Linked DNA regions of Anolis sagrei. The protein of the gene in region 2 interacts with the protein of the main gene of each other region in a biochemical or structural test. Links are inferred from orthologs where the notes say so. Each region holds a gene or a part of one and is shown on either strand. Other genes may lie near its edges.

Region 1 (7,929 bases), on a different chromosome or scaffold from region 2:
GGATATTTGTGCCAAATTTGGTCCAGTGTATGAAAATACATCCTGCATATCAGATATTTACATTACTATTCATAACAGCAGCAAAATGACAGTTATGAAGTAGCAATGAACTAATTTTATGATTGGGGGTCACCATAACATGAGGAAGCGTATTAAGGGATCGTGGCATTAGGAAGGTTGAGAACCACTGTACTACAGAATAATAAATGAGAGAACATCCCATGATGCAGGCTTAAAGCTATGAATAAGCTTTAGGAAAATTAAAGCATGTGAGTTAGAGCAAGCTGGAACAAAGGTGGGATTGTTTTATTCCTGTAGGATGCCCCTGTCTAGCCATTATAGGATTTTGTTTCCTTATAGAACTGGATACAGGTCAGAAACCATAAGGAAGGCATGGGTTAACTTTGACCCTCCTCCAGGTGTTTTTGACGTCAATTCCCGTATCTTGGGAAGTCTGACTTGGCCACGGTGGTACACGCTTTGGTCACATCCCGCCTCGACTACTGCAACGCTCTCTACGTGGGGCTGCCCTTGAAGATGGCCCGGAAGCTCCAGCTAGTCCAGCGCGCGGCAGCCATGTTGTTAACCGGAGCGGGACGCAGGGAGCACACAACGCCCTTGCTGTCCCAGCTCCACTGGCTGCCGATTTGCTACCGGGCCCAATGTAAGGTGCTGGTGTTATCCTACAAAGCCCTAAACGGTTCCGGCCCAAAATACCTTGCGAACCGCATCTCGGCCTACGAGCCCACGAGGACCTTGAGATCATCTGGGGAGGCCCTTCTCTCGGTCCCACCTGCCTCACAGGCACGCCTGGCGGGGACGAGAGAGCGGGCCTTCTCGGTGGTGGCCCCCCGGCTATGGAACTCCCTCCCTGCTGAAATCAGACAGGCGCCTTCCCTCATGGCCTTCCGCAAGGGCCTGAAAACCTGGCTCTTCGAAAAGGCCTTCAACTAAGTGCTATGTCTTTGTTGGAATGACCACCGGAATGGACTATGACTATGAGATTGATTATGACCCCAAACTAGACGAAGCGGATTTTTAGATGTTGTGTTATGTCTTGATCTATTGTAAATTGTTGTCTTTTCTATGTTCTGTACACCGCCACGAGTCGCCCTCGGGCTGAGAGTGGCGGTTAACAAGTGCAAATAATAAATAAATAATAATAATAAATAATTCCTAATGGCCCATTGACTGTTCAATTCCCACAATTCCTAACAGACTGTTTTAAGCACAGAGTCTGATCGAAACACCTGCCAACAGGCCTCCTCTGTCATGGATGCTGGTCCCTCATCCATGACAGACACTGGTTGGCCTCCAAGGACAAGTCCAACGATCGGGGCCTTTTGGTCAGTGACTCTGGCTAAGCAGGCTTCTAACAGTGGACGCAATCTAACACCAGGTGTCTTCTCTGGAAGTGGGCCCCACAAGGCAGGAAGGAAGAGGCAGACTTCCTTCTCAGCAGTTGTGCAATTGCACCTTGCAAAACTTGCATACGTTCTCTGCTGCTTGACTGAAAAGCCAAGCAGCAACTGGATCAGAGCAAAAGGTTGTCTAGTGGAGTACTGCAGAGTTCAGTTCCTGGGACCCAATACTGTTCAACATCTTTATTAATGACTTGGATGAAGGTTTAGAGCAGAGATCCTTAAACTGTTTAAACAGAGGGCCAGGTCACAGTCCCTCAAACTGTTGGAGAGCCGGATTATAATTTGAAAAATACATGAATGAATTCCTATGCACACTGCACATATATTAGTTGTTGTGCAAATAACACTTAAAAACAATACAATAATTAAAATGAAGAATAGTTTTAACCAATATAAGCTTATTAGTAATTCAATGGGAAGTGTGGGCCTGCTTTTGGCTGATGAGATATCATTGTTGTTGTGTGTTTTCAAGTTGTTTCAGACTTAGGTTGACCCTGAGCAAGGGCCGGGTAAATGACCTTGAAGGGCCGTATTTGGCCCCTGGGCCTTAGTTTGAGGAACCCTGGTTTAGAGGACCTGCTGATCAAGTGTGCAGATGGGACCAAATTGGGAGGGAGAGGCCAGGACCAGGATTCAAAATGACCTTAACTGATGAGAGCACTGATTGGCCAAAAATAACAAAATGGATTTCAACAAGGACAAATGTAAGATATGACACTTAGGCAGAAAAAAATGAAATGCAAAGATACAGAATAATAATAATAATAATAATAATAATAATAAAAACTTTAGGTGAACTACAAATCTCAGCAACTACAACTCCCAAATGTCAAGATTCTATTTTCCCCAAAGTCCACCAGTGTTCACATTTGGGCATATTGAGTATCCGTGTATTGTTTGGTCCAGATCCATCATTGGTAGGCTGTTAGGAATTGTGGGAGTTGTAGTCCAAAACACCTGGAGGGCTGAAGTTTGCCCATGCCTGTTCTAGTGCTTTCTGGTCATTACTTCCAGGGGAAGGTACGGCCTAGGAGGGGAAGAGGCCCCCTCCCTCCTCCAGCCTTGCCCACAGGCCTCTCCCTGGCCTACCTTGAGGACGGCGACTCCCCCGCCGGGCTCGTGCAGCTCGAAGGCGGTGGGCCCGGCCTGCTCCTCTCGCTCCTCCTGCTCGCCCTCGCCCTCCGTCTCCTCCTCCCCGCGCTCCCCGTCCTGTTCTGGCGGGGCGGCGATGGCGAAGGCGGCGCGAGCCACGTCGAGGCTGACGAGGGGCGGGCGGGCCTGGGCCTCCTCGCGGGGACTGCGGAAGGCCAGGAGGGCGCAGCGGCGCGGCTCGAAGGCCCACCACCGGCTCCGGAAGCCCCGCCGCCGGCCCCGGCCCTCCAGGTGGCCCAGGTAGCCGCAGAGGCGCCGCCCGCCCTCCTCCCGCTCCGCCGCCGAAGGCATCCCGGATAATCGCCTCAGCGCCCCGGGACTACGATTCCCAGCATTCCCGCTGAGGCTGAGGCTTCTGGGAGGGCAAGTCCAGTATTACTCTGAGGTAAAAGGAGGAAAATGCCACGCCTGCTTCCCTTCAAACTTCATTTCCCAGCATCCCCCGCCGTTCGCTGGCTTTGCCGAGGCTTCTGGGAAGTGAAGTCCAAAGCTCCAGGCCAAGGCCCCGCCCACTCCTGCCTCTCCCTTCTCAGCAAAGGCTACCCATTCTCTATTCTGCTTTGGTTAGAATATTGTGTCCAATTCTGGGCACCACATTTCAAGAGAGATATTGACAAGATATTGATATTTCTAGGTGCAAAGATGACTGCAGATGCAGACTGTGGCCAGGAAATCAGAAGACGCTTCCTTCTTGGGAGGAGAGCAATGTCCAGTCTCGATAAAATAGTCAAGAGTAGAGACATCAGACTGGCAATGAAGATCCATTGCCTAGTCAAAGCCATGGTCTTCCCTGTAGTCACCTACGGATGTGAGAGCTGGACCTGAGGGAAGGCTGAGCGAAGGAAGATCGATGCTTTTGAGCTGTGGTGTTGGAGGAAAGTGCTGAGAGTGCCTTGGACTGCGAGAAGATCCAACCAGTCCATCCTCCAGGAAATAAAGCCCGGCTGCTCACTGGAGGGAAGGAGACTAGAGACAAAGCTGAAGTACTTTGGCCACATCATGAGGAGACAGGAAAGCCTAGAGAAGACAATTATGCTGGGGAAAGTGGAAGGCAAAAGGAAGAGGGGCCGACCAAGGGCAAGATGGATGGACGGCATCCTTGAAGTGACTGGACTGACCTTGAAGGAGCTGGGGGTGGTGACGGCCGACAGGGAGCTCTGGCGTGGACTGGTCCATGAGGTCACGAAGAGTCGGAGATGACTGAACGAACGAACAACAACAATATTGCGTTGTGGTCATAATATAATATATTGTACACAACAACAACAATTGACAAGCTGGAATGTGTCCAGAGGAGGGCGACTCAAATGATCAAGGATCTGGAAAACAAGCCCTGTGAGGAGCGGCTTAAGGAGCTGGGCATGTTTACAAACCCCGCAGGAACTTAAGGTGGTCTGGAGAGGCCCTGTTCTCGATCCTGCCTGCTTCGAGAGACAGGGCCTTCTCTGTGGTGGCCCCCCGGCTGTGGAACTCCCTCCCTAGGGATATGAGATCAGCCTCCTCCCTCCTGACTTTCCGAAAAAGAGTAAAAACATGGCTCTTCGAGCAAGAATTTGGAACCCCAGAGTAAACGGACAAACTAGAGATGGAAATTGACCCAGGAACGGCCAAGACAATGTAACGGATGAAGATTTGAATGAGAAGACATACTTTCTTTTTAAATTGTTTATTATGCACTTTCGTTTATGTTTAATTGCATTGATGTTTTTGCTATATTAATGTATGTATTTTGTTTCGACATCGAATTGTGCCGACTGTGTATACCGCCCTGAGTCGCCTTCAGACTGAAATGGGCAGGATAGAAATAATGTAAATAAAGAAGTCATTGACGTGCTAGCTGATATCCAAACAAGGGATGAGCTGGAGATGTCTCTGCCTTGGTCCTTTCATTATTGGCTGCTACTTCCCGGCGGATGTCAGGTGGTGCAATACCAGCTAAACAGTGTAATTTCTCCAGTGGTGTGGGGCGCAGACACCCTGTGATAATGCGGCATGTCTCATTAAGAGCCACATCCACTGTTTTAGTGTGGTGAGATGTGTTCCACACTGGGCATGCGTACTCAGCAGCAGAGTAGCATAGCGCAAGGGCAGATGTCTTCACTGTGTCTGGTTGTGATGCCCAGGTTGTGCCAGTCAGCTTCGTATGATATTGTTTCTAGCACCCACTTTTTGCTTGATGTTCAGGCAGTGCTTTCTTGTAGGTCAGAGCACGGTCCAGGGTGACTCCTCCCAGGTATTTGGGTGTGCTGCAATGCTCCAGTGGGATTCCTTCCCAGGTGATCCTCAGAACCCGGGATGCTTGTATGTTCTTAAGGTGAAAGGCACATGTCTGTGTTTTGGATGGGTTAGGGATCAGCTGGTTTTCCCTGTAATAGGCAGTAAGAGCACCTAGAGCTTCGGAGAGCTTCTGTTCTACCATCTCAAAGCTCCCTGCTTGAGCAGTAATGGCACGATCGTCAGTATAGATGAAGCTCTCTGTCCCTTCTGGCAGTGGCTGGTCATTTGTGTAGATGTTGAACATGGATGAAGCAAGCACACTCCCCTGAGGCAGGCCGTTCTTCTGTTTCCGCCATCTGATTCTCTGACCCTGGAACTCACAAAAAAATTCCTGTTTTGTAGCAGGTTTCCTATGAGGCGGGTGAGTTGGGTAGTCCTTTGTGATATTATACATTTTTCTCAGGAGGAGGCGGTGGTTTACAGTATCATAAGCCACTGACAGGTCTGTGAAGACAGCTCCTGTGATCTGCTGCCTTTCAAAGCCATCTTCTATGTGCTGAGTCAGGTTCAGCACTTGCGATGTGCAGCTTTTGCCTTTGCTGAAGCCAGCTTGCTGTGGAATCAGACAGGGGTCTATTTTTTCCATAATTCTATGCAGAATAAGTCTCTCCAGAACTTTGTAGAGGTGGCACAACAGGGAGATTGGTCTATAGCTTTTTGGATCATTACGATCTTTGCCTGGCTTCAAGATGGCGATGACTCTTGCTTTCCTCCAGATTTTGGGGATCTGACAGGATGCAGTGCAGTTGTTCATCAGTTCCTGCAGACAGCACCTTGCTTTTGGGCCAAAGTTCTTGATTTGTTCCATCCGTAGATCATCCAGGCCAGCTGCTTTGCCATTTTTACATTTAAACAATAAACAGTAATACACAAGCACTTAAATATAATAGTTAATATTTAAAATATAATAGTTAAAATTTAAAAAATAATGCTGGGCATGAACAAGGTAGGATATAGCTGGTATAGCATTTTCAGAGAGATGAGGGAACACAGTCAGTCCTAAATTAGTGGTAAAGTACATTTTGAGGTCATATTGCTAAGAGATTTCCTTATTCTGGGAAGGCACACTGGAACAACCACGTTTTCAGGCTCCTCCTAAAGACTGCCAGAGTTGGGGCATGCCTGATGTCCTTGGGGAGAAAGTTCCAGAGTCGAGGGGCCACCACCAAGAAGGCCCTCTTCCCATCTGCGAAGGAGGTGGGAGCGCGAGCAGGGCCTCTCCAGATGATCGAAGAGATCGTGTGGGTTCGTACACAGAAAGGCGGGTCCCAAACCGTTCAGGGCTTTGTAGGTAAGAACCTGCACCTTGAACTGGGACCGGAAAATGAACGGCAGCCAATGGAGCTCCTTAAACAGAGGGGTTGATCGCTCTCTGTTAGAAGCACCAGTTAGTAACCTGGCTGCCACCCATTGTACCAATTTAAATTTCCAGGCCGTCTTCAAGGGCAGCCCCACGTAGAGTGCATTACAGTAATCCAATCTGGAGGTGACTAAGGCATGGACCACCCTGACCAGATCCGACTTCACGAGGTATGGTGGCATCTGGCGCATGAGTCTTAATTGTGCGAAGGCCCTCCTGGCCACCGCCGACACCTGAGCTTCAAACATAAGTGATGAGTCCAGGAAGACACCCAGACTGCGGACCTGTGACTTCAGGGGGAGTGCAACCCCGTCTAGCACAGGTTGCCACCCTATACCCCGATCCGGCTTACGATCCGGCTTGTAGTTTCTCAAGTCTCCTGACACAACAAAAAAAAAAAGTCTTTGGCCAAAGCAGCCAAGGCACCTGGGAGTTGAAGTCCAAACTCCATGCGAAGGACCCGACATTGCCTGTCCATGCCCAGCCTCCATGCGAGGGAATGATGGGAGTTGTGGTTTCTTTCAGGACCTCTTGCCTTCTCTGCCTTAGCGGCCGGCCTCGGTCCCAACAAACTATAACTCCCAGGGTAACCTTGGCAGTTGAAGTGACCTTTGACTGCAAACAGCGTATTCCCTCATGATGTGAATGAGACAAGTGCATTAACACCGCGTGAAAACGCCAAATATTTTTAATTCTGGTTTCAAGGATTTCTTTCAAAATCAGATATTTACAGGAAAACGATGCACATTGTTTATTCCCCCCTCCTCCCCCCTTTGCCCGGTTTTGATTTCCGAGATAAAGAGTCCACATTCAAAAAGTCTTTATGGCTGTAGATTCGCTGGATTAAAACTTGGAACACAACCTGACCCCTCCCGGCAGTTGGCCACCCGGCTCCTTCTTCAAAATCATAATAATAGAATGAGGAGGGGCCTCCGAAGACAGAGCCCCGCTCCTCCAACCATAAATTATCATCAGAGGCAGCCGTAGGTAATTTTCAATGGTAAGCAAACAGTATTTTGACCCCCCCTCCCCAATCAATCACTGATATATATTTTCTGTTCATCGTGGGAGTTCTGTGTGCCATATTTGGTTCAATTCCATCATTGGTGGAGTTCAGAATGCTCTTTGATTGTAGGTGAACTATACATCCCAGTAACTACAACTCGCATATGTCAAGGTCTATTTTCCCCCAAGAGCGCCTCAAGAGCGTCCCTGGGCAAAATCAACTATACTGCAAACGCTTACTTTGTGTAATGGGTTGAGTCGCCCTGATCATCACCATCATCACAAACAGGGCAGCAACTTAATTCTTCCTCCCCGCCATCTCCTTGAAGGGACTTGGGGTGGGGTACAGATGGGGCAGAATGTCCAAAAGCAAAAGGAATGCACAACCCGATCCCTACCGACAGATGGCCACTCGGCCCTTACTTTAAAGCTCCAAAGAAGGCGACTCCATCACCACCACCATCATCACAATTAGTATTATTTTCAAATACAGGGTGAGGCAGTATAACTTCCTTTTTTCAAAACTTAATAAAACCCATTTTTAATATAATGTAGCCACATACCTAAAGTTTTGTTTTACGTAGTTTTGAAGATCAAATTAGATAGCTGACGTCCCCCATTCTCCATTTTCCACACACTAAGTAAACCAATTTCTGGCGTTTGTCATGACTCTTGCCAGCATCACAGGCGTTATGTTGGTAATTTCCTCCT
Region 2 (7,291 bases):
TAGGGTCTATATCAGGGGTCCTCAAACTTTTTAAACAGAGAGCCAGGTGACAGTGCCTCAAACCGTTGGAGGGCTGGATTATAATTTGAAAAAAAAAACATGAATGAATTCCTATGCACACATCTTATTTGTAGTGCAAAAAACACCTAACAACAACACAATAATTAAGATGAACAATTTTAACAACTATAAACTTCTTAGCATTTCAATGGGAAATATGGGCCTACTTTTGGCTGATGAAATAGGATTGTTGTTCTTGTTGTTACTGTGTGCTTTTAAGTTGTTTCAGACTTTGGTTGACCCTGAGTAAGGGCCAGGTAAATGACCCTGGAGGGCCATATTTGGCCATCGGGCCTTAGTTTGAGGACCCCTGGTCTAGGTCCAGGGAAGTCATGCTCCCCCTTCTATTCTATTCTGCCTTGGTGAGAACCACACCTGGAATACTGTGTCCAATTCTGGGCACCACAACGGAAGGGAGATGTTGACAAGCTGGAATGTGTCCAGAGAAGGGTGACTAAAATGAAGGGTTTGGAGAACAAGCCCAATGAGGAGTGGCTTAAAGAGTGGGCTGAGAAGAAACATGATGAGGGCATATAGAAATATGTGAGGGGAAGTCATTGGAAGGAGGGAACAGGCTTGTTTTCTGCTGCCTTGGATACTAGGATGTGGAACAATGGCTTCAAACGACAGGAAAGGAGATTCCATCTGAACATTAGGAAGAATTTCCTGACTGTGAGAGCTGCTCGGCAGTGGAACTCTCTGCTCTGGAGTGTGGTGGAAACTCCTTCTTTGGAGGCTTTTAAACAGAGGCTGGATGGCCATCTGTTGGTGGGGCTTTGAATGAGTTTTTCCTGCTTCTTGGCAGGGGATTGGACTGGATGGCCCATGAGGTCTCTTCCAACTCTTTGATTCTATGAATTTCCTGACTGTGAGAGCCGTTTAGCAGTGGAACGGAGAGTGTTGGAGGGCTCCTTCTTTGGAGGCTTTTAAACAGATGCTGGATGGCCATCTATTGGTGGGGCTTTGAATGCGTTTTTCCTGCTTCTTGGCAGGGGGTTGGACTGGATGGCCCATGAGGCCTCTTCTATTATCCTGATTTCAAACCTGCTAGAACACTGGTTCTCAACCTTCCGAATGCCGTGACCCCTTCATCCAGTTCCTCATGTTGTGGTGACCCCCAACCATAACATTATTTTAATTGTTAATTCATAACTGTCATTTTGGTACTATTATGAATTGTAATGTAAATATCTGATATGTAGGATGTATTTGCATTCACTGGACCAAACTGGGCACAAATACATGATATGCCCAAATTTGAATACTGGTGAGATTGGGGAGGGGGGGGGGGGGGGAGGAATTGATTATGTCATTTGAGAGTTGTAGTTGCTGGGATTTATAGTTCATCTACAATCAGAGAGCATTCTGAACTCCACCAATGATAGAATTGAACCAAACTTGGCACACAGAACTCCCATGACCGAGAGAAAATGCTGGAAGGGTTTGGTGAGCATTGACCTTGAGTTTTGGACTTGTAGTTCACCTACATCCAGAAATCACTGTGGACTCAAACAATGGTGGATTTGCTAGGTTCTTGTGGGTTTTTTCGGGCTATAGAGCCATGTTCTAGAGGCATTTCTCCTGACGTTTCGCCTGCATCTATGGCAAGCATCCTCAGAGGTTGAGAAGGTCTGTTGGAAGTAGGAAAAATGGGTTTATATATCTGTGGAATGGCTGGGGTGGGGCAAGGAGCTCTTCCCTGCTGCAATTAGGTGTGAATGTTTAGCTGATCACCTTCATTAGCATTTGAAGGCCTGCCTGAGTCTGGGAAAATCTGTTGCTGGGAGGTGTTAATCTGTGCCTGGCTTTTCCTCTCTGTTGTTTAGCTGTTATAATTTTAGAGTTTTTTAATACTGGTAGCCAGATTTTGTTCATTTTCATGGTCTCTTCCTTTCTGTTGAAATTGTCCACATGCTTGTGGATTTCAATGGCTTCTCTGTGTAGTCTGACATGGTGGTTGGACCAAACTTCGCACAAGTACTCAATATGTCCAAATGTGAACACTGGTGGAGTTTGGGGAAAATAGACTTTGAGCTTTGAGAGTTGTAGTTACTGGGATTTATAGTTCACCTACAATCAAAGAGTATTCTGAACTCCACCAACGATAGAATTGGGCCAAACCTGGCACACAGAACCCCCATACTAACAGAAAATACTGTGTTTTCTGATGGTCTTTGGTGACCTCTCTGACGCCCCCTGGCGACCCCCCCCCCAGGGGTCCCGACCCCCAGGTTGAGAAATGCTGTGCTAGAAAGAAGGGCTATAATGCTACCAAAAAACCGGAAGCAAACATCCCCAGGATGCGGTCTAGCCGTAAGCTACTTGTTTGCTGACCAAAAGCAGTAGGTATGTGTGGGAAATACAGAAATATAGCAACACTTGCCACAGTGCCAAGGATTAGCCCTCCTGGGGCGCCTGCTTCGGGTTACTAAAGGTTACTTCGTCCCCCAGCCTTTGTCCTCCCCGCTTCCATGTTTAGGAAAGGGGAGAGGGGGAAACGGAGCTCCGCCCCTTTCGGCTCCCAAGCAGCACCCCGGCCAACGGAGGGGGGGGGCGCGAGGGGGATTAGAGGACAACAACAACAACAACAACAACGACGTCCGGTCTCAGTGGAGCTCTTTGAAGGACAACAGACACCCTGAAAATATAGACCCGCCCACCCATCCGCCTGTTCCCCTCCCCCCCCCCCCCCCTTCCACTCACAGGCACCCGGTCTGGATATTTCTTTCGGATCTTCTCCCCTTCTTTTTTCCTGTACTCGAAAGGATGGTCTTCCTTGTATTGGAACTTCATGTCTCAGGCGAACTCAGAACCCCTTCGCGACGGCGGCCTCCTTGCTTCTCTCTCTCTCTCTCTCTGTCTCCCTCCCTCCCTCGCTCAGCTGATCACAAGATTCACAACAAACACCCAGGGTTCAAGCCGGGCATTGTGACGTCACCGAGCTAAAAGCCCGCATCGGCCTCTGCCGCCCGCATTTTGGGACTGCACCATTTCTGCGCGGGGGGGGGGTGTAGGGGGTGGAATCAAAGGAGAGGCAGGCTCCTGCTTGAATCAAAGGGGGATACGTTTCTTGGGTGAAGGCCACACTAGAATCAGGAAAGCTTCCAAAAAATGATGCATCTCTTTTGTAAGTCATGATGTCTCATAGTGAAGGAAACAAACGAGTTATTATTATTATTATTAAACTTTATTTGTACCCCGCTAGCATCTCCCGAAGGACTCGATGCGGCTTACATAGGCCAAGGCCTCAAAACACAACACAATACAACACCTAAAGCAAATTAAAAACAGTTAAACAATATTAACAACAAGCAATAAACAATACATCAAGACACTATAAAACTGGGCCGGTCCAGAGTAATGGGTACAAGATTAAAAGTGCTGATGTGGCAGGAGGTATGTAGGATTATAAAGTAAGTGCAGTGTGCGGTGTGCAGCAATCTTAGTTCTACTAAAGTGCTTCTGGGACTTGGTATTGGAGATTCCTAATCTGGGAAGGCACATCGGAACAGCCAGGTCTTCAAGTTCTTTCTAAAGACTGCCAATGTAGGGGCCTGTCTAAGATCTTTTGGAGGGCGTTCCAGAGTCGGGGGGCCACCACGGAAAAGGCCCTGTCTCGAGTCTCCACCAAGCACGCCTGCGATGCAGGCGGAATCACGAGCAGGGCCTCTCTGGATGAACAAAGTGAATGTGTGGGTTCATAGAAAGAGATGCGGTCACGCAGGTAGGATGGTCCCAAACCGTTCAGGGCTTTGTAGGTAAGCACCTGCACCTCAAATTGGGCTCGGAAAATAAACAGCAGCCAGTGGAGCTCCTTGAACAGGAGGGTTGACCTCTCTCTGTAAGGAGCCCCAGTTAACATCCTGGCTGCTGCCCGTTGGACCAGTTGGAATTTCCGAGCCGTTTTCAAGGGCAGCCCCACGTAGAGTGCATTGCAGTAGTCCAATCTAGAGGTGACCAAGGCATGGAGTTGTAGTCCAGCATCGGGAGGGCCGCATCAGATGATTTGGGCCCCTTCTGCACTGCCCTTTAATCCGGTTGAAAGCAGACAGTCCATTTATTTATTTGTTTATTTATTTACTAGCTGTACCCGCCACGCGTGGCTGTGGCTAAGCTTCCCTCCCTCTTTCTCTTCTTTCTCTCATTCCTTCCTTCTCTTCCCTCCCTCCCTCCCCCCACCCCCACCTTTCTTTCCCTTCCTTTCTCTCTCTTCTTCCTTCTCTACCTATTCTTGGACTTGGACTTCTTGGACTTCATTTGAATGCATTTGAAGGATGTTCTAGATGCAAGGGGCCACCACCGAGAAGGCCCTCTCTCTCGTCCCCACCAACCGTGCTTGTGACGGAGGAGAACTTCCTGACTGTGAGAGCCATTCAGCAGTGGAACTCTCTGCCCCGGAGTGTGGTGGAGGCTCCTTCTTTGGAAGCTTTTAAACAGAGGCTGGATGGTCATCTGTCAGGGGTGCTTTGAATGCAATATTCCTGCTTCTTGGCAGGGGGTTGGACTGGATGGCCCATGAGGTCTCTTCCAACTCTTGGATTCTACGATTCTATTCTATACATATTGTTAATGAAAGTAAATAAATAACATTTCTTATTTAAACTGTTATGTTTATTCATATCCCATATGCATGGGGCAGGGGCGGCTCGTCCATTACGCGAAGTAAGTGGTCGCAGAACACTTTTTTTTGCCAGGGGCACAGAGGCGCTTCTGTAAATGCCCCTTGACTGCCACTTGAGGAGCGCCCCCTCAGCTCACAATAGCCCTAGCAGTCCGGGGGGAGCCTCGGCTTTCTTGCCTCGCTGCCGGGCGATCCTCTTCCCAAAGGGGCCGGGCCCTTGAGCCTCGCCTAGCCCCTCTTCTTCCTGCTCCACCTGGCCACCGGGTGCACAAGCAGAGCCAGTGCTCAATTGTTCTCCGCATTCGATCCCTTCCCCATGACCGGCTCCCTTTCCTGATCCCCGGCGCTCCACCCGCCTCCTCTCCTCTCCCCAATCCGCAGGTCGGCCAAGGAGCGGAGCCGCCATGCCTGGCCTACTTCGGGTCTGGAGGAGTGTCTGAAGACCCCAGCGTGCGCACCAAAAGTCTCTTCTCCTGACTTTCTCTTCAGCCATTGGGACCAAGAGAGAGAGAGAGAGAGCCCCTCCGGCTGGAGGTATCTCCCACCTCCGCTCCCTCCTTTGTTTTTGCACCTACCTTCAGGAAAGGTGGGCATCTCCACCTCTCCCTCTCTGGGTCCCAATGGCTGAGGAGAAAGTCAGGAGAAGAGGTGACTTTTGGTGCACACACCGGGGTCTTCAGGCATGCCTCTGGACCCAAAGCGGGCCAGGCAAGGGAGCAAGTGCGGCAAGTGTAGTTACTGAGATGTATAGTTCACCTACAATCAAAGAGCATTCTGAACTCCACCAATGATGGAATTGAACCAAATATGGCACACAGAACTCCCACCACAAACAGAAAATATATATCAATGATTGGTTGGGGGGGGGGGGCGCCAGATACTGTTTGCTTACCGTTGAAAATTACCTAGGGCCGCCTCTGGCATGGGGGTATTGGGATAACGATACAAAAGGTTTGCTGGGGTAGATCCTCTCTCATTCAGACTCAGCCTCCCCCCCGTCCCAAACAAAATCCTGGCTACGGGCCTGAATGTAAGTCTCTTGGAGTCTCCTTACGGAGAGAAAAAGTGGGGTATTCATCACAACAACGGGGCCGAAACGCCTTGGTTGCCTTTGTAATTGAAAGCCAAGGAGGGGAGGTTGTTTAGAAGGGGCTCCCCACGACCCCACTGCCAGCCCATGGAGGCCCGCATGAGGCTCCCTTCATCGGATGTTTTGTAAGGATGACCCAGCAGCAGCAACCCTCTCGATCGATGGCTTGTCTTCTGAGGCGACCTACATGCGGCTGTCACGCCCCCCTGCCCCCCTCCCTCCTCCTGCGTAAAGGCGGGTCTAGGCAGCGCCGCAAAAGGGAGGAGCGCGAGGAGACAGACGTCGAGACAGCCGCCGCCGCGTGACGCAGGGAGGCTTAGGCGAGGCTCCTTGGTGCAGCCCGGACGCATCTTGGCCAATGAGCTGTCCCTGCTGAGCCTGCGCCTGCCCAGGTCGGGGGATCGTCTCTGCCCCAAGGCTGAGCCTCGGAACACCACCACCACCAAACAACGACCTCGACATAGGATGACAGGGCTCTCGAGGATTTCTGTGGATTTGCTTGTTTTGAAGTTGTTTTTTAAAAAATAAATATAAGCCGCTCGAGTGTATTTGCCAAGGTCATGCTTAACCACTGTTTGCATTTCAAGAGACGTTTCCATCCTTGTTAATTGCCCTGCGTAGTCGCCTTGACAACCTTCTCCTCCTCTTCTCTCCCCTCTTCCTCTTCTTCTTCCTCCTCCTCCCCCTCCTCCACCTTTTCTTTCTCCTTCTTCTTCTTCCTCCTCTCCCTCCCTCTTCTCTTTTTTCCCTTCCTCCTCCTCTTCCCCCTCCCTCTTTTTCTCCTTCCCCTTCCCTTCTGCTTCCCTCCCTCCCTTTTCTTCCTCTTTTTCTCTTTCCTCCCTCTTCCTCTTCTTCTTCCTCCTCCTCCCCCTCCACCTTTTTTTCTCCTCTCCCTCCTCCTCCTCTCTCTCCCTCTTCCTTCTCTTTTTTTCCTTCCTCCTCCTCTTCCCTTTCCCCTTCTTCCTCTTCCCCTTCCTCTTTTTCTCCTTCCCCCTTCCCTTCTGCTTCCCTCCCTTTTCTTCCTCTTTTTCTCCTTCCTCCCCTCTTCCTCTTCTTCCTCCTCCTCCCCCCTCCACCTTTTTTCTCCTCTCCCTCCTCCTCCTCTCTCCTCCTCTTCCTTCTCTTATTTCCTTCCTCCTCTTCCCTTTCACCGCCTTCCTCTTCCGCCCTCCCCCTTTTTCTCCTTCCCCTTCCCTTCTGCTTCCCTCCCTCCCTTTTCTTCCTCTTTTTCTCTTTCCTCCCCCTCTTCCTCTTCTTCTTCTCCCCCCTCCACCTTTTTTCTCCTCCCCTTCCTCCTCCTCTCTCTCTCTCTCTTCCTTCTCTTTTTGCCTTCCTCCTCCTCTTCCCCCTCCACCTTTTTTTCTCCTCTCCCTCCTCCCCTCTCTCCCTCTTCCTTCTCTTATTTCCTTCCTCCTCCTCTTCCCTTTCCTCGTCTTCCTCCTTCTCTTCCCCCTCCCTCTTTTTCTCCTTCCCCCTTCCCTTCTGCTTCCCTATCTCCCTTTTCTTCCTCTTTTTTTCTT

What was found.
Region 1: the proteins of GABARAPL1 (region 2) and TBC1D2B form a complex in vitro, tested with the Homo sapiens proteins (2 studies listed by BioGRID and IntAct). The link is inferred for Anolis sagrei from reciprocal best matches to the Homo sapiens genes GABARAPL1 and TBC1D2B.

Annotation. Positions count from the first base shown.
Region 1 is NC_090029.1:12,556,877-12,564,805, reverse strand, and holds the start of TBC1D2B (TBC1 domain family member 2B), read right to left. Parts: upstream 3,018-7,929; 5' UTR 2,868-3,017; coding exon 2,514-2,867; intron 1-2,513. UniProt on the Homo sapiens protein: GTPase-activating protein that plays a role in the early steps of endocytosis.
Region 2 is NC_090022.1:168,111,875-168,119,165, forward strand, and holds the start of GABARAPL1 (gamma-aminobutyric acid receptor-associated protein-like 1), read right to left. Parts: upstream 3,013-7,291; 5' UTR 2,854-3,012; coding exon 2,764-2,853; intron 1-2,763. UniProt on the Homo sapiens protein: Ubiquitin-like modifier that increases cell-surface expression of kappa-type opioid receptor through facilitating anterograde intracellular trafficking of the receptor. Involved in formation of autophagosomal vacuoles.